6 linked regions of the Callithrix jacchus genome follow. The protein of the gene in region 3 interacts with the protein of the main gene of each other region in a pairwise test. Links are inferred from orthologs where the notes say so. Each region holds a gene or a part of one and is shown on either strand. Other genes may lie near its edges. The genes, in order: RAD23B, PRKAA1, PNMA5, ZMYND19, CSTPP1 and CCNC.

Region 1 (4,415 bases), on a different chromosome or scaffold from region 3:
AGGAACTTGCCCCCTGCACATGTTCTATCAAAATGAAAAGTACTAAAAGTTGGTCCCGTTGCTTAAAAGTTCTTAAGAAAAATATATGCCACAACTAACAAAAACAAAAACTCACTTACTTTATAAACAATCAAACCCCCTTAAAGAACACAATCTGAGCTTGAATTCCTAGGAAATGCTAAACCAAAGAAGAGAAAGATATTTAATATTTAAAGTTTGAGGTCAGGTTTGCAAAGCAGGAGAAATCTTAATACAAACTTAGTTACATTAAGGAAGACTTTGGTTATTACCATTAAATTTCAAACATAAGCCGTATGGTAATCTAGTACTAATATATCTAGAGCTTTTCAGTCTAAAATCCATTCACAATAGTAAATGTTAATAATGCCAAATAAGAAATAAAATAAAATACAGAACTTGTGGCTTTTTCAAGGTGCCAGTACTTATCTGGTTGTTACAGGAAACCAAAAATTATACATAAAGAAAGTATGTTTTTGAGGTTACTAATGAATAAAAGAGAATTTTTAGATGTATGTTGTAATTTCCTATTCAGGAAGACAATCATTCAAATTAAAATAGTCACATCATATGGGTTTTTTGTTCTTCCTTATATAATACTAGCTTTATAGAGGAAGGTAATGAGATTTACAGACTATGTTACCTAATAAGTGCTGAAAGGAATAGGACCCCAAATCCAAAGCAAAGCTGTGGCCATCTCTTTCCACTACCATGCTGAATCTCAACAAACAGGCCTGTCCTCTGGAGACTACACAAAGCACTTAGTGACTTTTGCCATCCAGAGGTGACTATCATAATCAGAGCTAAGAAATGGATGAAAGAATGGCTTTTTCCAAAATCAACAGCTTACTTTATTAATATACACAAGAACAAATGAAGGAGAACACTACATAATTACTAAGCAGGCTCCAGGCTTTGCTCTACAGTCAGACCCATAGCAATGTGTGGGTATGGCCAGTACCCGAGTAAGGAAGACTTTGGTTATTAACATTTGACTTGAATGTTAGCTTTGCTTTCTCCTCCCAGACACAAGGTTTTAAACCTCTCAAGGTTTCATTTCCTTGGCTGTATAACTGCTAAAATCCTGCTGGCTTTGAAATCACATACACTTTGTAACATTTACGGAGAGAGTAAGAGACAAAGTGAGCAAACCCTTCTGAATGCCATTAGACATACAAACTGGAAAGCATCTCTTCCTTAGAACAAATACAACAATATGCCCTTTGACAAAATTGCAGCACTGATGTTTAATATCAGCAAGGATACCTTTTATATCCACTTGGGAGAGTTTCTTTTGGGCCTTTCTCAAACATTAGTTACACAACTGCTCTGGGAATGAACCTCATTTCTGAAGCATTTCAGATTAAATTATCTTACACTAATAATTCAGGGTCATTCCCTCTCCATCCAAAGATTCCAATTTACCTCCAGAACTTGTTGTTGTAGTCGTTGCTGTTGTAGTCGCTGCAGCTGCAGCCACTGCTGAAGACTGAGGCGCCCCAGTACTAGCTGCTTGAGGGGGGTCAACCACAGCCTGATTTTCTCTATCTCCAGGGATTCCCTAAAACAAAATTTCCAAGCTTTAAGATATCCCATCATGCAAAATTCAATATTATATAGAGTAAAAGATTTATAGTCTATTTAACATGTTATCTGATTTTCAAAAGCATCAAACAGATGCCTGCTTCAATTAAAAGTAAAGGATTATTAACCTGTATGGATTCAAATTAGATTAGAAACGACCTGGCTGCATTATAGAAAAACCCACATTGCTATAATAATGCAAAGCAGTACTGACCAACAGAACTTTCCATGATGATGGAAAAATAGTCTCTGTTGTCCAATTAGATGCCTACCAGGCACAGATAATTATTCTAGTTCGAAAACTATCTATACATGTACCTTCTTAAAACAGAACATAACCAAAGGTTTTAGTGCTACTTATTATTACTTCAGTTGACTTTTTAACTTCTTAGAAATCTTCATCAGCTGTTAGTGATGAAAAGGATTGAGTGTACAATCTTAGCTTAAGATAATCCAAACAAAGAAGTTTTGATGGGCGTCTTGACAGTTCTAAAATGACTCCTGGGGAAAAAATATTTTTCACCTCTGAAAACTAAATGGTTTCAATTTATTTTAAATCAATTTTGTGGTTTTTGAAAAATTAATTATTATTTTTTTTTTTGAGACGGAGTTTCGCTCGTTACCCAGGCTGGAGTGCAATGGCGCGATCTCAGCTCACCGCAACCTCTGCCTCCTGGGTTCAGGCAATTCTCCTGCCTCAGCCTCCTGAGTAGCTGGGATTACAGGCACGCGCCACCATGCCCAGCTAATTTTTTGTGTCTTTAGTAGAGACGGTGTTTCACCATGTTGACCAGGATGGTCTCTATCTCTTGACCTTGTGATCCACCCGCCTCGGCCTCCCAAAGTGCTGGGATTACAGGCGTGAGCCACTGCACCCGGCCGAAAAATTAATTTTTTATCAGTTACTTTCTGAGTGACACTTTCTCAAAGAAACACTTTACTCAAAAGTATCTCAAATTTATGATATACCTTCTGAGTGACAGTTTGTCAGTACCATGGATCAGTAGAGGAGATCCTCCTGCAAGTGTGTAGTATTTATCTTCTAAAGTTGTTGGAGCTTAAAACTGCATGCACTAAAATCTTTTAGGACACCCTATTTTGATGCACATGATTTGACAGACTTGTCATTTAAAATTTTTAAAAAGTCTTTATCACGTTCTTATAGATTCTGAAAAGAGGAGAACTAAGTATTAAAATTGAGTAAGATGATAAATGCTTCCATTTCCTAATAAGCCAGAAGCCAAAAGCAACAACATATAAAGGAGGAAGAGCAGGAATATGGCTGCATGCATTAGATGCCACTCCAGGCATCAAAACAAATGTTTCTGAGTGAGTTCACCAATTCAAACCCTTAACTTCAATGGGCAGTTATTTAAGTGGCAACAAACTACACATAAATTTAGGGTCCAGAGCATCCATCACATTCTGTTTAATTTATTAAACTAAAAAGTTAATCTTCATTGCTATATATCTACCTCTATTCTCACACATTACAACGCCTCTTATTAGATAAGGGATCAACATTTCTTCCTTCCATCCATTCAATTTACCTGTTAACTATTAACAGTTAAAGGCAGCTCCCCACCCCCGTCTATGAAACAAACAGCAAATATATAAAAAATATTTGTTATAAATTGTTTGATGAACTCATGTCTCATCTGTTTATTTGCATTTGATGCTATACAGCAGTTTTAGCATTTGGCAACTTTGGTGACATTGATTTCTTTATTTTATACCTCAAAACTCCATGTCCATTAGATCAAAATAACTGATACTGTTGAACTTATGCAGAATTCTAAAAATCAGATGTAAATGAAAGCCACTCCAAAAAACTAATACTTTTATACAATCTGTTTAGGCTATGTACTCCTCGCCAAATAAATTCACAACAATTATTAATTCTACACAAACTGGATAAACTGCCACCATTTAAAGACACTACTCAAGACGACAATGAAAAAGTGAATTGAAAAAGATAAAATAATATGCTAGGAAACCGTTTTGAGAACTTCACAAGCAAATGCATGGGCAATAAATGGTGGAGGCAGAGTACAGTTATGAGGCTTATATTGGACTCTTCTGAAACTAGCTAGCTACCTGAAAGGAGTTCCTAACAGAAGTATAAACTAGACACAAAGGAATGCGTTAAACTGTGGACATAATTCCCAAAAGAGTTAGACTCATGCAACTCTAAGATGATATTTGGGCAATTCAGACTTAGAAAAAATACTCCAAAACACCAAAAACAATTATAAGATAAAAATCTAAGATTTTTAAAAAGTTAATTCAGGCCGGGCACAGCAGCTCACGCCTGTAATCCCAGCACTTTGGGAGGCTGAGGTGGGCAGATCACAAGGTCAGGAGATCGAAAGTATTCTGGTTAACATGGTGAAACCCTGTCTCTACTAAAAATAAAAAAAATTAGCCGGCGTGGTGGCACGTGGTCCCAGCTACTTGGGAGGCTGAGGCAGGAGAATTGTTTAAACCCAGGAAGTGGAGGTTGCAGTGAGCTGAGATCACGCCACTGCACTCCAGCCTGGGTGACGGAGTGAGACTCCATCTTAAAAAAAAAAAAAAAAAAAAAAAAAGTTATTTCAATCACTTTAGCCTGTGTTACATCTGTAAAAATAGCAGACTTTCATCTTCATACCAAGGGTTTCAGTCAATGTCCACAATACTCTATTTCTCAAAAACTTTCATTACCAGTAAAAAAAAGATGACCTTATTCAAAAAGTCCCTCAACTCCTGACTATAAAAACAAATTCAAATGCCAATGGAACCAGGTAAGTAACATCATTCATTAAATGCATGAT
Region 2 (4,415 bases), on a different chromosome or scaffold from region 3:
ATGATATTGGAGAATTATTAATTTCACAGTAGTATTATGGTATTTTTAGGAGAATATCATTATCTTTAGGAGATGCTTGAAGTATTTTCATGGTGATAAGTATGTCTGTAACATCCAAATGGTTCGGGGGACATATATACATACACACATACATATATGCATATATATGCATAACTAGTTGTATCTTTATACATATGTAGGTATAGAGAATAAAATAACAAAACATTAACAACTGCTGAATCTTAACGGTAGACATACATGTGCGCTTACCCTACAGTTTTTCAATTTTTCTGTTTTTAAAAATGTTCATAATAAATTTGGGGGGGGGGGGAGTCATAGCCAAGCACTTAAAGATTTTAAGAGATAGTCTTGCTATGCACTGAATCAATTTCAAAGATACATAATCAAATAACTAGCAATGTTAGCATATACCCAATACTGACTGACATGATGAGCCAGAGGAATTTAAGAAACTGGCAAAACTAATTTATTTATTTACAGTATGTGCAACTCAGCTCTTGTAACAAAAAGAACATTTTGTGTACAGAATACAGTGGGAAAATTTTAAGATTAAAATTAGTGCTACAGTATCTGAATATATAAATTCTGTTTCTGGACTTGTAAAGCTAAAATAAAATTTAAATTAGGTTTGATATCTGATAATGACTTAGCATACACTAGGAATTTTAAAAGGGGATATGGAGGCTGGGTGCAGTGGCTTGCACCTATAATCCCAGCACTTTGGGCGGCTGAATGGGTAGATCACAAGGCCAGGAGTTTGAGATCAGCCTGGCCAACACAGTAAAACACCCTCTCTACCAAAAATACAAAAAATTAGCCAGGTGTGGTGGCACACGCCTGTAGTCCCAGCTACTCAGGAGGCTGAGGCGGGAGAATCACTTGAATCCAGGAGGTGGAGGTTGCAGTGAGCCGAGACCATGCCATTGCACTCCAGCCTGGGTGACAAGAGTGAGACTCCATCTCAAAAAAAAAGGAGGGGGAATATGGAAGAAGTTATCCAGATTGTTACTAATGCTGGAAGATACCAGCTATTTAAGTAGTTAAAGAGCCCAGAAAACAAAATCACCTATAAAGGTCTCTGAGAATTCTAGGCAAATATTTATTGAATAAATTTATGAAGCAAATATATAACATGTAATAATATATGAAGGCTTTATGTAAATTAATAATTTCAAAGCCCTGTGTACACTAAATATAAAATAGCCAAAAATCAAGTGAGCCTGAGAGACGTATATATTATCCTATATACATACTGCACAATGAACAACAAAATGATCTTAATTGATTTCTGCATATTAGGCTTTTAACTATTAATCATTTTCCAATCCCTGTGCAAATTGCATTCCAAACGCCAGTCCTCAGTTATAATTATGTATAACTTGATTACAAATGGAATCATTTGGCTACAACTTATTACGCATGCTTATTGCTACCAAAGAAATAAGCAAAGTTTTAGGTTTATTGTGCAAGAATTTTAATTAGATTTGCACACATCTCAAAAAATTCTATTGTATGACTTCCAGGTCTCGGAGTTAGGTCAACAGGAGAAGAGTCAAGTGAGGTCACAGATGAGGTAAGAGAAACTTCTGAGGATTTTCCTTGAGCCTCAGCATCTGAATCACTCCTTTGGCAAGATCGATAGTTGCTAACTGATCCCGATCTCTGTGGAGTAGCAGTCCCTGATTTGGCTTCTGTAATTTCATCTGGGTAAAAAGAATTTCAATTTATTATACTCTATGACCTTACGCCCAAAATTTTTGTAACAATATTGAATTTGCTTCGTTAAGTGGGGCTACTGGCCAGCTATCAAGAGTATGTTTATTAGGCCGGGCACGGTGGCTCACACCTGTAATCCCAGCACTTTGGGAAGCCGAGGCAGGTGGATCATGAGGTCAAGAGATTGAGACTATCCTGGTCAACATGGTGAAACCCCGTCTCTACTAAAAATACAAAAAATTAGCTGGGCATGGTGATGCATGCCTGTAATCTCAGCTACTCAGGAGGCTGAGGCAGGAGAACTGCCTGAACCCAGGAGGCGGAGGTTGAGGTGAGCCGAGATCGCACCATTGCACTCCAGCCTGGGTAACAAGAGCGAAACTCCGTCTCAAAAAAAAAAAAAAAAAAGTATGTTTTTTCTAAATACCTTCTAAAATAGAGGCAATGAGCCTGTATTACACCATTCACCTTTTTTACATACAGTATGTATTCTCAAGATGGCTAATCAAGGTAGGGCACAGTATAGTTACTCATCAGTTGCAATCCAAGGTTAAGAAACTCAACAAACTAACAATCTAAGGATTCATAAATATTATTCTATCGCAAAAAAAAAATCCTTCTATATTAAAATCATAGAATCAATGCACTTAAAATTTAGAAGGTATACTGGAAACCATCTCATCCAACCCCTCACTTTATTAATAAGAAAACCCAGAGAAGTGATTTACCTAAGGTAACAAATGAACAAAAAGGTTAGTCTAGAACTCAACTCTCCTCTCAGCTCAGTGCTTTTTACTTTCCACTTTCCCTTCATATTTCATTTAGCATTTCATAAAAAAGCAACAAATCCAATGAATAAAAATCAAAGAAAAACTAAGGTTGAGAACACAATGCAAAAACAAAAATGAAAAACTAAAGTTGGAAACACAATACAAAAACAAAAATGGTATTCAATTGGTATACTGAAGGACTAGTAAATCTAAGGTTGCAAATTTGATCCACATATGAGAAAAATAAAACCCATTCCATATTTCAGACTGTATTAGTATACGTTAGCAGATCCATACTATAAGAGACATAAAGATAACCAGACAAACCGGTTTGGCCAACATATCATGGCTCAAATCTGTGTCTTTCTGCTACTATGTGTTTACAATCTTTGAATTTATAAAGAAGAAAAAAATTCATAGGTGAACCTTATCTAATAATTCTATGTAACCTTCCATAAGCAAAGGTGATACTGTATTTTTTAAAAATTTTGTAGAGACAGAGTCTTACTGTGTTGCTAAGGCTGGTCTCAAATTCCTGGAGTCAAGCGATCCTCCCACCTCGGCCTCTCAAAGTGCTGGACTGTATAGGCATGAGCCACCACACCTACGCTCAACACCGTATCTCAATGCAATTGAAATGGCCAGTGCTGAAAACTTACTTAATAATAAAAACTCATGGGAAAGTCAGTATTTATTTCTAAATAAAACATTTTCTCTTTCCAAAATGAACCACACCAAAAAAACAAATGCAGCAGAAAACTATCACCTTACGAACAGACTGCACCTAGCTTTAAGGATTTTACAAGATGATAATCTTAAAAGGACAGCATTCTATTAAGATTACAAAAATAATAAGACTCATAAATGTTAATACTGCAAAGGCACAAGAAGTCACATTTTCTATTCCTTTGCAACTGAATTACTAGGAACAAGTCAAGAAGCTTCAAAAGAATCAAAGAATAAAATACCAAGTTAGTAACAAGGTCTAATGTACATTGTTTGTGTGATGTACATACCATCAATACTACGGAAATCCAGTAGGTAAGTTCTACTGTCCACTTGGTATAACTGTAGACTCATTTTGGAGTAAGTGCTTGTCACAGGATTCTTCCTTCGTACACGCAAATAATAGGGGTTTACAACCTAGCACATGGTATAACAAAATCAAAGTCAAAAGTAGTTCTTCTATAAAATATTTTATAGAATACGGGTTTGCCAAATATGCTAATAATCAAAATGTTACTTCTTTCTTACCTTCCATTCATAATCCAATTGTTTAATTGCTCTACAGACTTCTGCCATAATATCATTTGGTCGACTTTGACTTCTAATTCCTAAATGCCATTTTGCTTTCCTTACACCTTGGTGTTTGGATTTCTGTGGATTTAATTCATCAAGGGTATGGCGTGCCCTTGGCGTTTCAGCAACCAAGAATGGTACTCTTTCAGGATGGGGACGAGTCAGGTGGTGATCATCAAGAAAAGAATCAGGTGGGCTTGTCGCCAAATAGAAATCTTTGGCTTCATTCATTATTCTCCTGTTATCTATTATGAGATGGTAAGCAACTGCCAAAGGGTCCTGGTGATTTCTGTTATAAAGACAGCTGAGAACTTCCTCTTCTGAGCATTCAAACTTTTCACATACTTCTTTTAAGGCTTCATCATCAATCATGGTTGAACTATATGATGGATCCTCAGGAAAGAGATATTTTGGAAGGTCCTGTTTAAACCATTCATGTTCCCTGAGAGAGAATGGCAAGATCAGGAGAAGAATTCTGAATAGAGCAGAGACTAAGAGTAATAGTTTGAGGAATTTAGATTATGAATTAATATATATTTATACCCATACTATATTATTATCACTTTTTCCACTGAAAGTTTCCTCTTCTGCTCACACTTCATCGTGTAT
Region 3 (5,048 bases):
TGCACCAATCCTCTAGCAGTGTTGCCGCCATTACTCCCACTTTCTAAGGACCGACAATCAGCTCGGTTTGACAGCACTCAAAGGATTCTGAGCCACTGCCACGTAGGAAGGCAGGAGTGTCACAGGTTTCCACAGCCTGCAAAGCAAATGGGATAAGAGCATTGCTAATGCCCACCCCAACGTATACTCCCAAGTGCCCCTCCCTCTGCCCCCACCCCCAGCAGGGATGGAGTCCCTGCTACCCAAGGCTCAAGTCATTGTGTGGAGAACAGAGTGTGGTGGGTCTCCCCAGGCAAAGATCCCCCCACCTCACCACACTCCCTGCTGACCTCCTCCTGCTGTGGGTTCCTCCTCGATGTCCAGAGGACTCAGCCGGGTGTGCTGCAGGTGCCTGTAGTGAAAAGGCCAACGTCAGGAGGCAGGGCCTGACACCTGAGGACACTGACAAGCCCTCCAGGCAAAAGTCAGGAGACTGCCCCACTGCTCACTCAGGGCTATGTGGGCTCAGGTCACCTGGCACCCTCCTTGCTGGAATGGAAGTGAAGGCTGGCTGCAGGAGAGGTGGAGTGGCCGTGTTTCTCAGGAAATGCCTGACAGAGGAGAAAGATGGCCGGAGCTCTGCGCAATGAAATGAGTGGTGGGTGTGGAGATTGTGTGAGAAACTGCAGTGTTGCCATGGATACAGAGCATACCATGGACCATGGGTTGCTATTGTATGGTAGTGTCATGTGGTGAGGCTAAGGCCCTTGAGAAGCAACAGGTGATGTCATCGGTCTTCATCCAATACAGCATCCTAGCAACAAGGAGGGTAGGTGAGGAAAGGGGAGGTAGGCATGAGGAGTGAGTGCTCAAAGAAGGACAGGAGTTCATGGTTTAAATTGTGTGGAAGGTGAAATCGGGCAGAAAAGGGACGCAGATAAGGTCCCTACTGCCAGACTGCAGGAAACGAACAACTCTTGCCCTAGCGATGGCCCTATCCTGCAGAGTTTGCGAACCCTGCAGTGAGTCCTGTCTCCTCACTCTTTGCCAAGGTTCCAGAGTCCCTCCCACCAGAGCCCACCTCACAGCTGCTCACCTTGCTGGGCTGGCTCTGCTAGCAGCGTGGAAGCTGCAATAACAGCCACTTCACACTTGCTGCGCTCTTCAGCTCTGTCCAGTTAGGCAGCTACTGAGTTAGCAGTGACGGGTCTTGCTTCTCTGGATCTGTCCAAGGCAAAGCAGAGGTATTTTGTTGTGATTGTGTCCCACACACACGTCTCTGCTCAGGCCACGGCAGTTGTGATTCTGCAAAGGTGTCCAGTAGTACTCTGGCGCAGCCACAGAAGAAACTGCTCAACTGGCAGAGGGAGGAGGAGGGAGGAAGGGGGAGGGGTGCGGAAAGAGGGAGTATGGGAAGGAATGGTGAGGGAGGTGGAGGGTGGGGGCTGGTGGGGGCTGCTGATAGGACAGAAGGGATCGTAGGATAAGGTTGTTGTCCCACCCCCACTGCAAACTCTACTCGCTCCAAAGCTCCGCCCCTGCAGCCATGTTGTCCGAAGCTCCGCCCCTGCAGCCATGTTGATCGGAAGCTACGGCATTGCAGCCATGTTGCATCGCTTAGCTACCTCACCATAACCACCACACGTTGCCAAGGTCCACGTGCGTACACCTAAGATCCACCTCTACCGCAATCCCAACCAGCACGAAATCCAACCCATTTCCCCACCCACGTCTAACTCGTGCTTCAACCCTGCCCCCACCCACGTCTGTTACCTCAACCCTGCCCCCACTCACAGTTGAACTCGTGCCTCAACCCTCCCCCCACCCATGTCTAACTCCTACCTCAACCCTGCCCCCACCCACAGTGGAACTCGTGCCTCAACCCTGCCCCCACCGACGTACAACTCGTGCCTCCAGCCTGCCCCCACTCGCAGTCGAACTCGTGCATCAAACCTCCCCCACACATGTCTAACTCCTACCTCAACCCTGCCCCCAACCACAGTCGAACTCGTGCCTCAACCCTGCCCCCACCGACGTCTAACTCGTGCCTCAACTCTGCCCCCACTGGCAGTCGAACTCGTGCATCAAACCTCCCCCACACATGTCTAACTCCTTTCTCAGCCCTGCCCCCACGCACAGTCGAACTCGTGCCTCAACCCTCCCCCCACCCATGTCTAACTCCTACCTCAACCCTGCCCCCACACGCAGTCAAAGTCGTGCATCATCCGTGCCCCAATGTCTAACTCCTACCTCAATCCTGCAGGCACCCACAGTCGAACTCGTGCCTCAACCCTGCCCCCACCCATGTCTAAGTCGTAACTCAATCCTGCCCGCACCCAGAGTCAAATCCGTACCGCAATGAGTGACCACTCACGAAGCCCAACTACTTACGCCATACAAGTCTAACCCCCTGTACCGAAATCCAGTACGTCCGTTCCCGTTTCCCTCCATCTCTACCCTGTTATCTACATAAACCAACTACCAGCACCAGTGGAAGGCGGCAGGATCTAGGAGAGAAGATCCGAAGCCGCTCTTCTGCACGGACAAGGGTCAAGAGTTGAGGGTGGAACAGGCCTCCAGAAAGTATTTTTTAATTTGTTTCTTTTTGAGACGAATAGTCTCCCTTTGCTGTCCACGCTGGAGTGCAGCAGGCATGATTTCGGCTCAGCATAACCTCCGCCTCCAGGGTTCAACCTATTCTCCTGCGTCACTGTCCTGAATAAATGGAATTACAGGTCCCCAACACTATGCCCGGCTAATTTTGGTATTTTTAGTAGAGACGGAGTTTCACCATCTTGGGTAGGCTATACCTCCTCACCTAAAGTGATACACCCGTCTCGGCCTGCCCAGCCTAAGGTCTCCCAGAAGTTCTGCCTGGAAAACTATGGATAGCAACTCCTAGGCCCTGTGGAAAATAGCAAGTTATTGGCGATATACCCCCTAATCTAGGTTGCTTTGTATGACCAGGCCCAGCTCCGTACCTGTCAGAAAGGCCTGTAAGCTGGAGTGATCGCGCAGCGCGACCACCACACGTCTAAGGCGGCTGCCGCCTCTGTGCCGAATGCGCCTCCAGGCTATGACAGGAAGAGGTTGTCTGGTAACGCCTCCCCGCCCAGCGGAAGTGCACACGGCCCACTCACAGTTGCGCACTAGTGACATAAAGCATTCTATTTCCCGCGCCAAGCAACTCCTCACCCCCACCCCACCAGTTCGAGCCCGCACTTTTGAGAACATACAATACAAACAGCTGGCAGCCATTTCCATTACAGACTAGATGCCTGTACTTTACTGGCTGGACAACGGTAGCACCAGTCTCTTCATACACGCCACATGTACCCAATAGGCCACATGACTACACGTACTACCTCAACATCACAGATCCTGTTAAAGGCTGTGGCGGGAAGAGGTTTTTGGGTGATGACCCCCACCCTAGCAAAACTTCACACGGCTCTTTCACATTTGTGCAGTGGCCACATAAACCTTCCTACTTCCCTATCAAGAATTCCTTACCCCACCCCAACCCTTGCCAGACTGTGCCGGCCTGCGCCAACCTTCACCTTTGAGGAAATACAATACAAACAGTTGGGAACTACTTCCATTGCATACTAGCTCGGAAGTCTATAGTTTACTGACTGGACGATGGCGGCAGCTATTCTCCCCACTTGCCACGTCACCCAGCAGTCATTCTGTTTCTTTCCCGTGGGAGGGGAGCTATGCCGTACCAAGCCGTGTGTGAAGGGCCAGGTGCAAATCACCGAGTACAACATATAAGCCATGTGTAACAAATAGGCCAAGTGAGCGTGTGTACTACCTGAAAGTCACACACCCCTTTTCAACCTGACGCGGGAAGAGGCTATCGGGTGATGACCGCCCCCTCCCCCACTGTAACTCCACACAGCCCACTCACAGTTCCTCACCTATGACACAAACCCTCCTACTTCCCATGCGACGGGTCCTCACCACCCCACTACCACCCGTGCGAGCCTGTGCCAGCCCGCACCTTTTAGAACAGACAATAAAAACAACTGGGTGCCACTTCCATTGCAGACTACCTCCCACGCCTGTAGTTTACTAGCTAGACGACGGTGGCACCCAGGCTCTTCATTTACCATGTGTCCCAGCAGCCATTGTGGTTCTTTTCCACTGGAGGGGAGCTGTGGTGTCCCAAGCAGTGTCTGAAGGACCTGGTTCACATCACTGGGTGCAGCATATAGGCCACGTATAATGAATAGGGGGTGTGAGCCTACTTACTACCTGAAACTCATAGCACCTGTGTATTTTTTATTGGACTGCGTTCTGGGGTAGGAAGGTAAAAAATACAGCTACGGCCTGCATTTCACAAGGCCATAATTTTTTTTTTCTGCTTACTTAGAGCCAGATGACTGAAAATACTCTATTCTCCCATTATTCTCCTGATTTCACGGCCTACTTCAAGATGCACACAAATACCCTGGCAATCTTTAAAAAATGCAAGTTCTCAGTGAGGAGGCCTAGTGCAGGACTGATTCTGCTGAAAGCCGGGTGACTTGCTGCCTACCCCTGCCCAGGCTGTGTGTAGCAATGGTCTGAAGGCTATGATTACGCTTCAGGGCCAGAAGTTATGGACCTGTGGTGAGAGAATATATGTGTGTTTCTTTATTAGTGATTAAAAAAAGAGCAAGCTTTCTTGGGTAATGTTTTAATAAATGTCTTAAAAACAGAAAACATTTTACATTGAAGGTCACTGAGCAAGACATTTGCAGACACCACCTTCTTCACCCAGGTATGGTGGCTCAGGCCTCTAATCCCACCACCTCGGGAGGCTGAAGTGGGCAGATCACTTGAGATCAGCTTGGCCAACATGGCGAAATCCTGTCTCTACTAAAAATCCAAAAATTACCTGGGTGTGGTGACGCAGGTCTGTAATCCCAGCTACTCAGGAGGCTGACGCAGGAGAATTGCTCGGAACTGGGAGGCACAGTTTGCAGTGAACCCAGATCATACCACTGCACTCCAGCCCGGACGACAGACACAGATCCTGCCTTTAAAAAAAAAAGGGATATCGTCTTCTTCCCCTTTAACTGCAGAAA
Region 4 (4,920 bases), on a different chromosome or scaffold from region 3:
CTTGGGCCGCCAGCCCCACGGCACCAGCTGCAGGTTGTCCAGGCGATTGTCCACAGTCACTGCGTTGAGGTGCACCACCTGGAAGCCCGGGGCCACGCCCCCCCGGTGCCGCTCCCTAGAAACAGACAGTGCCCTGCATTGCCGCCTCCCACCCTCACGGGTATTTCTGATCAGGCATCAAAGTCCTTTCAGGAAGAAGTATCGGCCATGTGATCTGATCAGGCCCTGCTCCTACAGATGAGGGTGCTTCAGACAGAAACTGCCAAGAGGAATCCAAGCACCTGGTCTGTGGCCCAAACAGGACAGGGACACAGAGAGGACCTGGCCCCTGGACTTAGGAGCAGAGTTAAGGCTGGAACCCAAAACCACCTGAGCAGACGGACTCAAGACAGCTCCCATCTGAGTGGCCCCTACCATGCACACTGGGGGGCTCAGTGAAGACCCAGCAAGGGGAGCAACCCCACTCTCCCTCCAGAAGCCACCGGTCCTGGGCAAGCGCCCAGCAGAAAGTCCACTTGGTGTCTGAAGTGCAATATACAAATCATTCGTTCCTCTAGGTTAGTGACAAAGGACACAAAAATAAATGCGAAATTCAGGGAAGGCAAGGCAGGGCCTCGGCGGGGCAGGGGGCTCCAGGCACCCTGTGCCATCAGAGCTCACCCAGGAGCCCTGTGGCAGGGGGCAGAGGCAGCTTTGAAACACCCACCACAGCAGCTCATGAAGGAGTCTCCCAGAGCCCCTTCCTCGGTTCTTGTCAAAGGCATAGGCAAATATCTTAGCGCCATTTCCGTCAGCATCTACTTCCATTCGGGCCTGAGAAGGAACAAGGAAAAGAGCTATTAAAAAGGCTCCAATTCTCAGCAACACCTCAAATCCCTCTTAGAAAACCCACGTGAAACAGGCAAGCCTGAGGGACAAATGCCAGCCCTGTCCCTGAGACCCTGGGGAGTGTGGCGCTTCCCACAGGCACATGGCCCCAGGCCCAGTGTGTCCCCCCACCATGCTTCTATTCAATACATTTTCCTACCCTTAAAAAAAGCCCACAGTGCAGTAAGATGGAGATACCCCTTGACAAGTCACGACTGCGAATGTGTGGGGCGCAGAGATAAAGCGTGGTGAGGGAGGCCGAGCTCAGTGGCAGGAACGGAAGCTGGGAAGAGGCAGGAAGACCCCATGAGAGCAGAGAACGGGAGGCAGCTGGGCAACCTGGAGGGGCTGCTAGGGCAGGCCAAGCATAGGTGGCCAGCTGTAAGGAGCAGGGTCATCCAAGCTAACAGACACGGCCCACGTGACAGGATTACAAACGTGAGAACACACTATTTGCTTTCAAGAAGGGCTGGCAGACAGGGTGAAAGTGAGGGAAGGCCGTGTCATCAGGCTGCAAGGGCTCTGGTGGCAGCGACAGCCAGGGTCTGCAGGCCCACCGCTGGATGTGGCAGCTGAGGGCTCAGGGCTCACAGGTTGGCACCAGATATCCACTTGTGGGGCCGCCTGCTCTTGCAGCACAGGGGACAGAGCTCCTCATGACTCTCCTGAGCACTGACCACAAGCATCAGGGGAGGGAACAGCCATCCTCACTCACCTCAAAGGAGTAGCTCTCCACCAGCGGGATGTCCTGCTCATCGATCAGCGTGTATTTGGTCTGGAAAGTAACCACGTTTCAAACCATTACATTTGGGATCCTGAAGTGCAGCAGCCTTATAACCCATAACAGGCAGGAGCCTGCTGCATTTTCTTGTGAAGTAGGAAGTAACCACAGGCCTCTTCAGAGGAAGGCAGCTCAGCACGTGGGGGTCTCATTCTGCAGTTTGGGGTCGTGCAGCCTGTGCAAAAACGCAGGCAGACCGGTGACAAGCCAGCTGCCCACTTTAGTCTGTGCCAGAGGAGCCGGTATCAGGCCCCATCCTCGCAGGCCTAACCCAACAGTGGCACCCAACATTTAACGCACCGATACACTTAGGCAGAGGCGAACTCACTGGGCTGAGGGAGGGGCCTGGACGGAGGCAGAAAAGCCAGGTTTTGATTAGGGTGTGTTTATTAAGCTGAAGTACTCACTGAATTCCCCTTTTTAGCTTTCTGTCCACCCAAAATGTTCCAAAGAAAAGCTATAAGGGATAACAATGCCATCAGTGGCAGAGTTGGAAGGGGTCTCGGGTCTTCGACCTGACTGGGGAGCCCACCCTTCCCCGGTGGGAAAGCCTCCTCCACAGTAGGCCCTACCTATGCTCTTGGAGCAGGGGCAGGAAACAGAAACAGCTCCAGGAACCGACCAGTCTCTCTCTCGACGTTTTTTTTTTTTCTGGGATCTGAACCTGTTTGACCTGACGCCGCCTGCCACTGCCTCCACTCCTCTCTCCCACCAGAAAAGCTGCAGCCACTGGTGATGGGAACAGGGCTCCTATCCAGGCAAGAACCTGGCTGGTGCAGCTGCACAGGTGGCTCCAGAAACCGCCAAGCCTCAGTGCCTACAGGTGGCATGGAAGCCCCGGCCCCAATCGTGAAACGTGAGGACCGGTACGGAGAAGTAGGGGAAGGCCCTGAGTCTGCAGCATCAGGACCCAGGCTCCTGCCTCTCTGCTCTAAGCCTGAGGCTCAGCCTACCTTGGCCAAGGCCTGGCAGCGTTAAAACGAGCCCGAAGCCCTGCTGCGAACTGGGAGGCACGGAAGAGCCCACACCAGACCCGCCTCGGCGAGAGGTGTGGAGGTGGCGCTGCCTCGAAAGGGCGCTGTGTTTAAACCGTGTGGCCGCTCCAGCAGCCCGGACACCGCACTAGGCCCCGGCTCGCCGGCACCACGGGGAGGGCTCCGGATGAACACCGGCCGGGCTCAAGTCAGGCATCTCCGCACCTGGCTCGAGACAGGGCCGTGGCTTCCACCTGCGGCAGGGCAGGGCCGAGGGCGGCCAGGTGCGCCCCGGAGCCGAGGTGCGTGCCCACCGGCCTTGCGGGAGGAAGCTGCACCCGCGCGGGGCCGGCAGTCGGGCCCGCGCAGCGCCCCCCACCCCGCCGGGGCTCATCCCGGGCTCCGCGCCCCCGCCCCGGCCGCCGCCCGCACAACCGCCCCCGGCTCCGCGCGGAGGCCAGGACGGGCAAGATGGGCCGGGCCGGGCCGCGCACTCCGCGCCGCTCACCTTTCCGGCCACCCGGCCGAGCCGCACGATGCCCAATTTGAAGTCGGTCATGGCCGGGCCTGCGCTCTTGGCCGGCAGCGCCGCTCCCTCGGGAGGCGCCGGGCGGGGGCCGGGCGAGGCCGCGGCGCGCCGGGGCAGGACAGGACCGCAGCCGGGGTCGGGGTCGCAGCCAGGCGGGCCCCGGGCGGGACGAGGCTGGGCCGGGCTCGGGCCGCCGCCGCCGCCGCCGCCGCCGCCTCGCGCCCGCCGGACCTGCCACGCGCCGTCGCCGCTACCGCCGCCGCCACCGCGCGCACCACCGCGAGCGGAGCGGAGGGGCGGGGCGCGGCCCGGGACACACCCCCCGGCCCGCCGCCGCTCTACCAATCGGGAGGCGCGCACGGCGCCGGTCGGCGCGCGCCGCTCTGTAACAACCAATGGGAGGAGGGAGAGGGCGCCGGCGCGCTGAGGAGCGAGGCGAGCGCGGGGGAGGGGCGAGGCCGGGGGCGGTGCCTGCGCGCGCCGACGTCAGTTTCGCGGGAAGCTTTGTGCGGGTGGCGGCGCCGCGCCCGGAGGGGCCATGCGCGCCGCGGCCCGGGACTCGCGCCGGGCCCGTGGAGCTCTGCGAGCCGGCCGCCCTTCGCCTCCCTCGCCGTCGCCCCCGTATGCTGTTTCCCGCCACCGTCCTGGCCCCGACTGCGGAAGGAGGAGGCGGACGGAGCGCGTGCGGGGCCCGCTGAGCGGGAGGGGAGCGGGCGAGGCGGGCCAGGAAGAGGCTGCTGCCTCGGGACGCGGGAGTGCCTGGAGATACCGCGGACCCCTGGCCCACGCGACCCGGAGGGCGGCTGGCCGCCGGAGCAGCCTGGTCTAAGGCGTCAGGAAACGGAACTCCAGAGGCCGTGGTGGTCCCAGACTCCAGTGAGGCCCGTTAGGCTCCGGGGAAAGCCGAGACCCGCTCAGGGAGGCCGGGAGCGCAGTGGTGGGCAGCGTGGCCTGCCCTGCAGCCTGGAGCGAACGGGGCCGGATGCTGCGTCCTGCTCCGCGGTGTCCAGTCGCCGCCGGCAGCCCTCACCCTGCTTCAGGGGCGACTCCGGCACCTGAGGAGCTGCACAGGCCTCTTTCTGGCTTGCTGGCTTCTGTCTTCTAACCCCCCGACTTTTTTTTTTTTTCTTTTGAAACAGAATCTTGCTCTGTCACCCAGGCTGGAGGGCAGTGGCACAATCTCCGCTCAATGCAACCTCTGCCTCCCGAGTTCAAGAGATTCTCCTGCTTCAGCTTCTCAAGTAGCTGGGATTCCAGGCATGCACCACCACGTCTGGCTAATTTTTGTATTTTTAGTAGAGACAGGGTTTTGCAGTGTTGGTCAGGCTGGTCTTGAACTCCCGACCTCAGCTGATCCTCCGGCCTCGGCCTCCCAAAGTGCTGGTATTACAGGCGTGAGCCACCATGCCCAGCCTGCAAAAGGTTTTCATGAATCAGCCCAGACGTTCCACCTCTAGGTCCCCTGGTACTTGCCAGTACCCCCAGGCACCCTAGAGAAGAGAAGGGGCTGCCTGAGACACACATCCGGGTTCAGGCGAAGCCTAGCTCAAAACATACCTGTCCTACTTTATAGAGTTCCCAGGGTGTGATGAGGTTATGAGCAACTGCTTTGTGAAAAGACGTGGGGCCACACAGACGAGCTTGATGAGTCCTCCCTAGGGTAGTTGAAAAGCACTGGTGTCCCCAAGCCCAGTAGTTCATACCTATAATCTCAGAAGTCGGGAGTTTGAGACCAGCCTGACCAACATGGAAAAACCCCATCTCTACTA
Region 5 (4,875 bases), on a different chromosome or scaffold from region 3:
CTGAAACTATTTGTCACTTTGATTGAAAAAAATCCAAGTTTGATGGATTTTGTTGTCAGGACAGTGGGGAAACAGGCATTGTCTTACATTGCTGGTGGCTGTGTAAAATGGTACAACACCTATGAAGGGCAACCTGGCAGTATCTATCAATACTTCAGTGCATAGGCCCTTGCTCCACCAATTCCACTTTGTGGAACTTATTCTTGCAGATACACTTGCAAAGTAACAAAATTGCAGTTTATTCATTTCAGCATTCTTAGCAACAGCAAAAGCCTAAAAACAACTTGTTTACCAATGCAGGACTGGTTATATATATTATTGAAATACTATATAGCTAAAAATGAATTTTATAAAGAATGAAGAAGCTACCTACTGACTGAGAAATTACTTCAAGGCCAGGCTGTAATCCCAGCACTGTGGGAAGCCAAGGTGGGAGGCTTGAGCTCAGGAAGTTCAAGAGCAGCTTGGACAACATGGAGAAACCCCATCTCCACCAAAAATAAAAAACTTAACTAGGTGTGGTGGCTTGTGCCTGCAGTTCCAGCTACTTGAGAGGCTGAAGTGGGAGACGGCTTGAACCTGGGAAGTGGAGGTTGTAGTATGCCGAGATGGTGCCACTGTACTCTAGCCTGGGCAACAGAGTGAGACTCCTTCATCTTAGGAAAAAAAAAGAAAAGAAATTGCTTTGAAATGTATTAAATGAAAAAGGTGTATGCTGCATGCTCCTTTATGTATATAATAATCTCTGGAAAGACACACAGGAAAACAATAGTGGTTACTTTTAGGGGGCTGAGGATGGATGGCAACTGGGCAGATGGAGGCAAAGGGGTAGGAGACTTTTCACTATAAACATCTATCTATCCATCCATCCATCCATCCATCCATCCATCCATCTTAGAGACAGGGTCTCACTCTGTCACCCAGGCTGGTCTTGAACTCCTGGCCTCAAGCTATCCTCCTACTTTAGCCTCCCAAAGTATTGGGATTACAGGCAGGAGTCACCATGCCAGGCCTAAAAAATATTTTGAATCAAGTTTCCATATTACCCACCTTAAAAAATATTTTTAAATTCATTTTTAAAATAAGTTTAAAAAAAAAATTTAAACCAGAATTGTTTTTCATTTAAAAAGATGTAAGCCAGGTGCAGTGACTCACACCTGTAATCCCAGCACTTTGGAAGGCCACAATAGGAGGCTTCCTTGAGCTCTGGAGTTCGAGACCAGCCTGGACAACATAGTGAGACTCTGTCTCTACAAAAAATAAAAAAATTAACCAGGATGGTGGCATGTGCCTGCAGTCCCAGCTACTTGGGAGGCTGAGGTAGGAGGATCACTTGAGTCCAGAGGTTGAGGCTGCAGTGAGCTGTGACTGTGCCACTGCACTCCAGCCTCAGTGACAGTGCAAGACACTGTCTCAAAAAAAAAGAAGAAAAAAAAGATGTGCATAGTACATTCCAGACAATGGAGTATTATTCAGCAACAAAAAGAAAGAAACTATCATGCCACAGAAAGACATGAAGGAAACTTAAATGCTTACTGCTAAGTTAAAGAAGCCCATCTGAAAAAATTTACACACTATGTATGACTCCAACTACATGGTATTCTGGAAAAGGCAAAACTTTAGAGACAATAAGATCAGTGGTTGTCAAGGACTGCAGGGGAGGGAGAAGGATCAATAGGTGGAGCACAGAGGTTTTTTTAGCGCAGTGAAACTATTCTGTATGACAATGGAATGGTGAATACATGATGTTATGCATTTGTCAAAAGACACAGAACTGAAAAACATAAAGAATTAACCCTAATGTAAACTATGGACTTTAGTTATTTTATCCAGTGTAACAAATGTACTGCAGTAATATAATGAGAACACATGGACACAGGGAGGGGAGCATCACACACTGGGGTCTGTTGGGGGGAAATAGGCAAGGGACAGTGTGGGGTGGGGAGCTGGGGAGAGATAGCATGGGGAGAAATGCCAGATATAGGTGAAGGGGAGGAAGGCAATCAATCACGCTGCCATGTGTGTACCTATGCAACAATCTTGCATGTTCTCCACATGTACCCCAAAACCTAAAATGCAATAAAAAATATAAATAAATTTAAAAATCCCAAAACACACACACAAAAATAAATAAATAAAATAATAATAAGGGAATCTGGCCAGGCATACTGGCTCACACCTGTAATCCTAGCAATTTGGGAGGCTGAGGCAGGTGGATCACAAGGTCAAGAGATCAAGACCATCCTGGCCAACATAGTGAAACCCCGCCTCTACTAAAAATACAAAAAACTAGCTGGGCGTGGTGGCACTTACCTGCAGTCCCAGCTACTCGGGAGACTGAAGCAGGAGGACTGCTTAAGGCAGAGGTTTCAGTGAGCAGAGATTGCGCCACTGCACTCCTGCCTGGTGACAGAATGTGGCTGTTTCAAATAATAATAATAATAATAATAATAATAGAGGAAACTGTGAATGAGGGAGGCCCAAGGTGTATGGGAACTCACTGTACTATCTAGTCAATTTTCTGTAAACTTAAAACTTCCCTTAAAAAAAAAGTCTATGAATTATTTAAAATGTGTATTGTGTGCATTTATGTGTGTGTGCATATCTATGTGGGCGTATGCCTTTTTCATTCATTAAATTCCTTATACACTAAAGATGCTCAACAAAGTACTACACATACAGTCTCAGCTCAAGAGCTAAGTCAAGGTCTCAAGTTCTGGAGTGGGCAAATCCAGTTCTGATCCTAGTGCTACCATTTTCTAGCTGTGTGGCCTAACCTATGCCAAGATACCTCTTCAGCCCCAGTTTCTCCACCTGCAAAACTGGAAGAAAACACAGTAATTTCTCCTAGGGCTGTTGAGAAGTTCAAATAAAGAATAATGCATGTAAAATGCTTAGCACAGTGCCTAATGAAAAAGAAAAGCTGGAAATGTTTGCTGCCGCTGTAACGGTAAGACAGTTATTGAGGAATGACTGATTTGGCACTTGAATTTCCAAGGTTATTCTTACTCCACTACCAGCATATCAGTAATACCCCAACAGAGCCCCAAATCCTTAACTCCAACCTGACCCAAGTTGAACACAATCCACATTGCCTGAGTTCCAGCCCCTACACTTCAAACATTCTTTACTCCCCAGGTGCTTTTTTCCTCCCGGCTCGGCCTTAGGGGCTCAGGCCCTGGAACCCCCGCCTCTCCGCCCCTCCCCATTCCACCCGGACCCGATCCCACACAAACCCCGCCCCCGCCCCCGCCTCCTCCCAGACCCCGGCCTAATTCGTCTGCACATCTTTTTTTTCCCCAAAGTTGAAGGGGGCACCTACCCAGATACTCATAGTCCGGCAGGGCTAGGCGCTCGGGACTCAGCATCCTTTGACCCGGGTAGCTTCAAAGCTCCAGCTCTCCGGCTTCCGGAACTCAGGTTGCCTTCTCTCTCCGTTACCATGGCACCCACGCGGTGGGAGGGGGCGGGACCCGGAGGAGGTGTCACACAAACAGTCTCCGTGTAGCAAAGTGGAGCTGGCCACTCAAGTTCCGAGGGCAGTCGCTTCACGACGGTCCAGGTTTCTTTGGACTCCCATTCTTGAAGACTTGGTTTTAGAGGAATCGGAGATGCAGAATTCTTTTGAATCCGTTGTTTCCCGATGTCGAAGAATTACTGTCTGCCGCCCATACACGGAGTTACTGAATTTCATAACTATCCCTGCTTTTATACAGTTATCCTAACTCATTAATAGCCCCCACCCTTTGGCCCTCATAAACACTTAGTAACCCGTTACCTATTTCTAGCTCTTTGATATTTACTATCTTAAATTGCTGCAAAGTGCTTACGTATGCATATACCCTAGCTGCTTCTAGAGGTCAGGAGTGTGTCTTTTATGCCTATGACTGCTGGATACACAAAAGGTACTCATTAAGTCCTCTGAGATCATTGCCATTTCTTCTCCGTTCTGGCTCTGTCGCCCAGGCTGGAGTGCAGCGGCTTGATCTCGGCTCGTGGCAACCTCTGCCTCCAGGGTTTAAGTGATTCTCCTGCCTCAGCCTCCCGAGTAGCTGGGAGCACAGGCACCCGCCACTACACCCGACTAATTTTTTGTATTTTTAGTAGAGACGGGGTTCCGCGATGTGGGCCAGGCTGGTCTCGAATTCCTGACCTCAGGTGATCTGCCTGCCTCGGCCTCCCAAGCTGCTGGGATTATAGGCGTAAGCCACCGTGCCCGGCCTCAATTCCTTTTTATCTTTGGTTCTTCTATTTTATGTTTATTTTTTTGAGAGGGAGCCTCACTCTGTCACCAAGGCTGGAGTGCAGTGGAGCGATCTCAGCTCACTGCAACCTCTGCCTCCCGGGTGCAAGCAATTCTCCTGCCTCAGCCTCCCAAGTAGCTGAGACTACAGGCGCATGCCACCACGCCCGACTTTTTAGTAGAGACGGTTTCCCCGTGTCATCCAGGATGGTCTGGATCTCCTGACCTTGTGAACCACCCGCTTCGGCCTCCTGAAGTGCTGGGATGACAGGCGTGAGCCACTGCACCCGGCCTCTTCTTTCTATTCCTACCCCTTACTATTTGGTACCCTTCCCAAGTGTCTTTCCTTTTTCTTACCAAGACATTTCACTTGAGTGGGAGGGGCTGCAGAAACAAGGATACAAATTAGATTTTTTCCCCCCATATGCCCAATTGCTCACTTCTCCTTTAAGGGAATAGTCAATGGTTTTCAAGTTCCCAAATATTTCTTTTTGCCCCTCTCCGTTCCTGACAACAGGTAAGAGATCTGTAGCACTTGACACAGTTCAGACCTAGCAGAAAAAGCCACTGTGTCCTCACTTTTTTAGTTCCCTCCCCCTCCAACAAGGTGAGGTTTGTGAAAAAGAGACAAA
Region 6 (4,415 bases), on a different chromosome or scaffold from region 3:
CCTGTAGTTGTGGCTACTCGGGAGGCTGAGGCAGGAGAATTGCTCGAACCTGGGAGGTGGAGGTTGCAGTGAGCCAAGATCAAGCCACTGCACTGAAGTCTGGCAACAGAACAAGACACTGCACTCCAGCCTGGCAACAGAACAAGACTCCATCTCAAAAAAAATAAAAGAAAATAGAGTGCATAGAAGAAATGGAATTCTTTTTTATTTTTTTCTGATAGAGTCTCACTCTGACACCCAAGCTGGAGTGCAGTGGCACAACATCAGCTCACTGCAACCTCCACCTCCCGGGTTCAAGCAATTCTCCTGCCTCAGCCTCCCGAGTAGGCGTGCTACAGACTTGTGCCACTATGCCCTGCTAATTTTTATATTTTTACTAGAGATGGGGTTTCACCATGTTGGCCAGGCTGGTCTCAAACTTCTAACTTCAGGTGATCCACCTGCCTTGGTGTCTCAAAGTGCTAATTATAGGCAAGAGGCACCATACCCGGCCAGAGATGGAATTTCTTTTAATCTCAGTGAGATCAATTGGGTTTTGTACAAATGGAAGCTGACACCAAACAGATCTTTTAGAACCTGTCAATAGTTACTTTGTTGAATTAAGTGTATTATAATGGCATGAATACAATTTTCTCAAATAGTACTTATATCTATATGCTCACACCATTTTAAGGAGATGGGGGATGGATGGTTAACATTGTTTTTTCACTTGTACTTTATTTAGTGACTAATAAAGTAATAGATAATAGAGTAGTAACTTTATGTGTGTGTGGCATTAAAGAAAACTCTAGAGACCTTTGCACATATATTAATGCTTTTATTAAAATATATATTTTAATAAATACCTGGTCATTGTAAAAAGTTTAGAAAATGGTGTACTATCCTCCCAATATTTTATATGTATATTTTTGATCAATTGTATATATTGTAAACACATACATAACCCCTGCGTTCCTTCTAAGCTCAGTCACTGGAAAACAGGAGAATACCATTCTGTAGTTGAAAAGATTTTAGAAATGATAAAAGTGATTTTTTTTTCTGATCTTTTTCTTTTTTAAACATCAGAACCCTTTCTTAAAGTAGTAAATATAAAATTAAAGCTGTCTTGGATGTCCTACCACCCAGTCTTTCCCCTTCCCTGAAATCAAAAATCTGGGTCCCTAAGTATTGCCAAGAATTCCTACTGAAAATAATCTTGCTCAACTCTCTAATATTCTGCTCTGTTAAAAGAATTTTGAGTTAATTCATTTCCCATTTTTTCAGTTTAAATTGTTTTTTTATTTTCTGCAGTAAAAACTAGATTTTCATATGCCTTTCCAAAGGAATTTCCTTATAGGATGAATCATGTAAGTATAAAAATAAAACACTTATCAAAGCTTTATATAAACTAGCTCTATTTTATATTAGACTAAATTTAATAGTTTCCTAGAAATAGCAGTTTCAGATATTACATGAATACAGACATTATTCTAAATTAAAGCTAAATAGCTTTTACCATTAAAAAAAATACTTCATAGTAGTGATTATCAACCCTGTCTGCTCATTAAATCACCTTGGGAGCTTGTATATAATATTTATGTTGGATTTTCCAGAACAACTAAATTAGAACTTTGAGGCTTGGTGCTCCCAATATTGGTACTATGTAAAAGCACCCAGGTGATAATACTATTCAGCTGGGATTAAAAACTACTTTAATGGAACAGTATGAAATATAAGGGGAATTTCTATAGACATTTTAATAGGCATGTCCTTCTTTTTCCACTTTGCAAGGGATTTGTTTATTCTCTTTAAGCTACATTGTTTTAAGTAGAAATAATTGTATTTTGCATTTGCGTAGTAGAAAGTATACTGGAAAATCTGATGTTTTTACAGGATATTTTAAATAAAAGTGAGTAATAAGAATGCTTGTGAGAAGCTGGCTTTTCCTTAAAAGGATTAAAATTTCTATAATCATAATTTGATGTGTAATAGTAAAAAGTAATTTTTATTGCATATATTGATTTTCATGTAAATTGCATTTATTGTCTGGATTTTTAAAACTTTTTAGTAAAAATTTTTGATAAATTACTATAATGTCTATAATTTATATTAGATTAAGTAGACTTATCTAATTTGGTTTCAAGTTGACATTTCATTGATAGTCTTTTCTTTAAACAGATATTAGAATGTGAATTCTATCTGTTAGAACTAATGGTAAGTATATCTTCTGTGATTAATAGATTAAAACATTTTCAAATTTAATGAAGTTGGAAATTATTTAAAGAAATGATATTAGGGAGATACATTTTAAAGCCATCCACCTGATATGTGATAGTGAAATCATGGTAGCCTATTTATATTAGCGTCTGTATTCTCTCTGAAGCCTGTAAAATACTTTATATATCCTACTTAGGATGGGAAAACTTTTCTATTCTATATTAAGTAACTGTAATAAAAGTATTACAAACAGACAAGTCAGGACATTAAACCACTGTAAATTATGTGCACAATTTGTGTGTGCGTGCAGTGTTATTTAAAGATAGATTATGTCTTTGGCAGAATTCTGCTCCTCCAGTTGGGAATTATGGATTTATAGGCTAATAAGAGGTTTCAGTGTGTTGCAGATGTGACACTTTGAGTCTCTAAGGGAATGAATGGATGCTGACTGACTGCCAACCGATTTATCAAGGTATATTCCAGAGAGAGCACTGCCTTCACTATTATAGTAGAGTTTAGGGCTGTCATACTGCTTGCTTAAGCAAATAAAAGGGAAGCAAGCATGAGTTAATGAAATTCACTTTGAAATAATACAATTACAAATGAGTTGGGTAATGATATCATTTTTGTGTTGTAATAAATCTGTTTTTTATACATACACATTTTTTAAACTGTTTCTAGGATTGTTGCTTGATAGTGTATCATCCTTATAGACCTTTGCTCCAGTATGTGCAGGACATGGGCCAAGAAGACATGTTGCTTCCCCTTGCATGGTAATTAGAACAGAAGTTATTAATAGTGTAACATGTTGCTAGATAGGAAGGTTGACAACTAAATATGAAGTTCAGTATTTTTAAAGTCATTAAACTATTGCCCCAAGATATTTTGTGTTGAGCAAAATACCACTTTTTTAATTTTAATAACTGTAGTGGAGTAAATAACAAAATGAAAACCATCCTAAATTATCTGTTCTATAAATATACTTATTAAAATTTAATTTTATATGAAACAGACTGGTAACATAAAAATTAAGACTGAAGCTATCTTTAAAGTAATCAGAATACTTTTTGGTAGTATGTAACGTACATATACATTTACTGTTTAACTTCTGGTTTTTTAATTTGATTTTCTGATTTTTAAAAAATTAGAAAAATGTGTTTGTAATTTGTTATGAAATTTTGAAATTTAAAGTATATTTAGCTGTAATTTTATTCGTTGATATGTGTATTTGTTGTCACATTCATGTATCTATCCTTTTGCCTTGATGTTTTCACTTTTATAGCTGTGCTTCAGTAATATAAAAGGAAATAAATGTGTACAAAGATGGGAAATCTGGCCCTCTCTGGAGGAAATGTACAGATGAGGTAGATCTGCTTTCAGTAATAATATGATTTACATTTCTATAGGAGGATAGTGAATGATACCTACAGAACGGATCTTTGCCTACTGTATCCTCCTTTCATGATAGCTTTAGGTATGTAAGCATGGTGGGCCTTTATTAGTTAAATTGTTATAAACCTATTTAGGTCATCCTAAACTAAATTTCACCCTATTGTACTTTATGTTTTTATCTTCCATGAAGTAATAGACTAATCCTTGCATGTGAACTTTCAATAATATGAACTGCAACTGACACAAATCAGGATTATTGTTCCCCCACTCCCTTTTCTTTGGTTAAGTTTTTTGGTTTTTTTTTTTTTTTTTTGAAACCATTCAAAGTAGTTTTAATCAGTGTCTGAAAAGAATGTATTTGTTTGTTTACAGGGAAAAGTTCAGAATTAAGCCAGTATTAGTTGTAGCGTGTAAAATAATTGGGCCTTTCACCTCCTGAACCCAAACAAGTACTCAGAGGTTGAGTAAAGGAGCATTTGTGGTCCATAATGCCTGGCTAGAGACAGAAGTCAGCTACATCAGCTACATTCATTCTACTGTCTGTGGAAGGCAGTGCTGTAATGGGTGGAGTCAGATAGTTCTAGGCTTAAACTTTACTTCCTTTACAATTGTGGGAAAATTATCTGACCTTTCTGTGTTTGGGTCCTTAATTGTAAAATGGAGAGGATATTAATGCCATAGAGTCATTTGAAGAATTAAATGAGATAGTTTGTAGAGCACCAAATAATGCCTGCTATATATTGGGCACTTGTTAATTTCTTTTCTTTTCCTTTCCCTTCTATTGATTTTTTTTTTTTTTTTTTTTTTTTTTTGAGACGGAATCTCAC

The links.
Region 1: the proteins of PNMA5 (region 3) and RAD23B interact in binary tests that used the Homo sapiens proteins (3 or more experiments, as listed by UniProt). The two-hybrid records come from large-scale screens. The link is inferred for Callithrix jacchus from reciprocal best matches to the Homo sapiens genes PNMA5 and RAD23B.
Region 2: the proteins of PNMA5 (region 3) and PRKAA1 interact in binary tests that used the Homo sapiens proteins (3 or more experiments, as listed by UniProt). The two-hybrid records come from large-scale screens. The link is inferred for Callithrix jacchus from reciprocal best matches to the Homo sapiens genes PNMA5 and PRKAA1.
Region 4: the proteins of PNMA5 (region 3) and ZMYND19 interact in binary tests that used the Homo sapiens proteins (3 or more experiments, as listed by UniProt). The two-hybrid records come from large-scale screens. The link is inferred for Callithrix jacchus from reciprocal best matches to the Homo sapiens genes PNMA5 and ZMYND19.
Region 5: the proteins of PNMA5 (region 3) and CSTPP1 interact in binary tests that used the Homo sapiens proteins (3 or more experiments, as listed by UniProt). The two-hybrid records come from large-scale screens. The link is inferred for Callithrix jacchus from reciprocal best matches to the Homo sapiens genes PNMA5 and CSTPP1.
Region 6: the proteins of PNMA5 (region 3) and CCNC interact in binary tests that used the Homo sapiens proteins (3 or more experiments, as listed by UniProt). The two-hybrid records come from large-scale screens. The link is inferred for Callithrix jacchus from reciprocal best matches to the Homo sapiens genes PNMA5 and CCNC.

What each region holds. Positions count from the first base shown.
Region 1 is NC_133502.1:155,688,446-155,692,860, reverse strand, and holds part of RAD23B (UV excision repair protein RAD23 homolog B), read right to left. Parts: intron 1,580-4,415; coding exon 1,444-1,579; intron 1-1,443. UniProt on the Homo sapiens protein: Multiubiquitin chain receptor involved in modulation of proteasomal degradation. Binds to polyubiquitin chains.
Region 2 is NC_133503.1:164,812,530-164,816,944, reverse strand, and holds part of PRKAA1 (5'-AMP-activated protein kinase catalytic subunit alpha-1), read right to left. Parts: intron 4,249-4,415; coding exon 3,762-4,248; intron 3,651-3,761; coding exon 3,524-3,650; intron 1,725-3,523; coding exon 1,480-1,724; 3' UTR 1-1,479. UniProt on the Homo sapiens protein: Catalytic subunit of AMP-activated protein kinase (AMPK), an energy sensor protein kinase that plays a key role in regulating cellular energy metabolism.
Region 3 is NC_133524.1:149,110,921-149,115,968, forward strand, and holds the start of PNMA5 (paraneoplastic antigen-like protein 5), read right to left. Parts: upstream 3,045-5,048; 5' UTR 2,961-3,044; intron 1,204-2,960; 5' UTR 1,076-1,203; intron 633-1,075; exon of another isoform or gene 489-632; intron 392-488; 5' UTR 330-391; intron 137-329; 5' UTR 32-136; coding exon 1-31.
Region 4 is NC_133502.1:185,938,454-185,943,373, forward strand, and holds the start of ZMYND19 (zinc finger MYND domain-containing protein 19), read right to left. Parts: upstream 3,442-4,920; 5' UTR 3,182-3,441; coding exon 3,131-3,181; intron 2,965-3,130; exon of another isoform or gene 2,602-2,964; intron 1,643-2,601; coding exon 1,583-1,642; intron 1,151-1,582; coding exon 1,028-1,150; intron 814-1,027; coding exon 707-813; intron 116-706; coding exon 1-115. UniProt on the Homo sapiens protein: May be involved as a regulatory molecule in GPR24/MCH-R1 signaling.
Region 5 is NC_133511.1:111,993,792-111,998,666, reverse strand, and holds the start of CSTPP1 (centriolar satellite-associated tubulin polyglutamylase complex regulator 1), read right to left. Parts: upstream 3,454-4,875; 5' UTR 3,369-3,453; coding exon 3,323-3,368; intron 1-3,322. UniProt on the Homo sapiens protein: Regulator of the tubulin polyglutamylase complex (TPGC) that controls cytoskeletal organization, nuclear shape, and cilium disassembly by balancing microtubule and actin assembly.
Region 6 is NC_133505.1:105,583,231-105,587,645, reverse strand, and holds part of CCNC (cyclin-C), read left to right. Parts: intron 1-1,290; coding exon 1,291-1,346; intron 1,347-2,157; coding exon 2,158-2,193; intron 2,194-2,877; coding exon 2,878-2,969; intron 2,970-3,602; coding exon 3,603-3,670; intron 3,671-4,415. UniProt on the Homo sapiens protein: Component of the Mediator complex, a coactivator involved in regulated gene transcription of nearly all RNA polymerase II-dependent genes.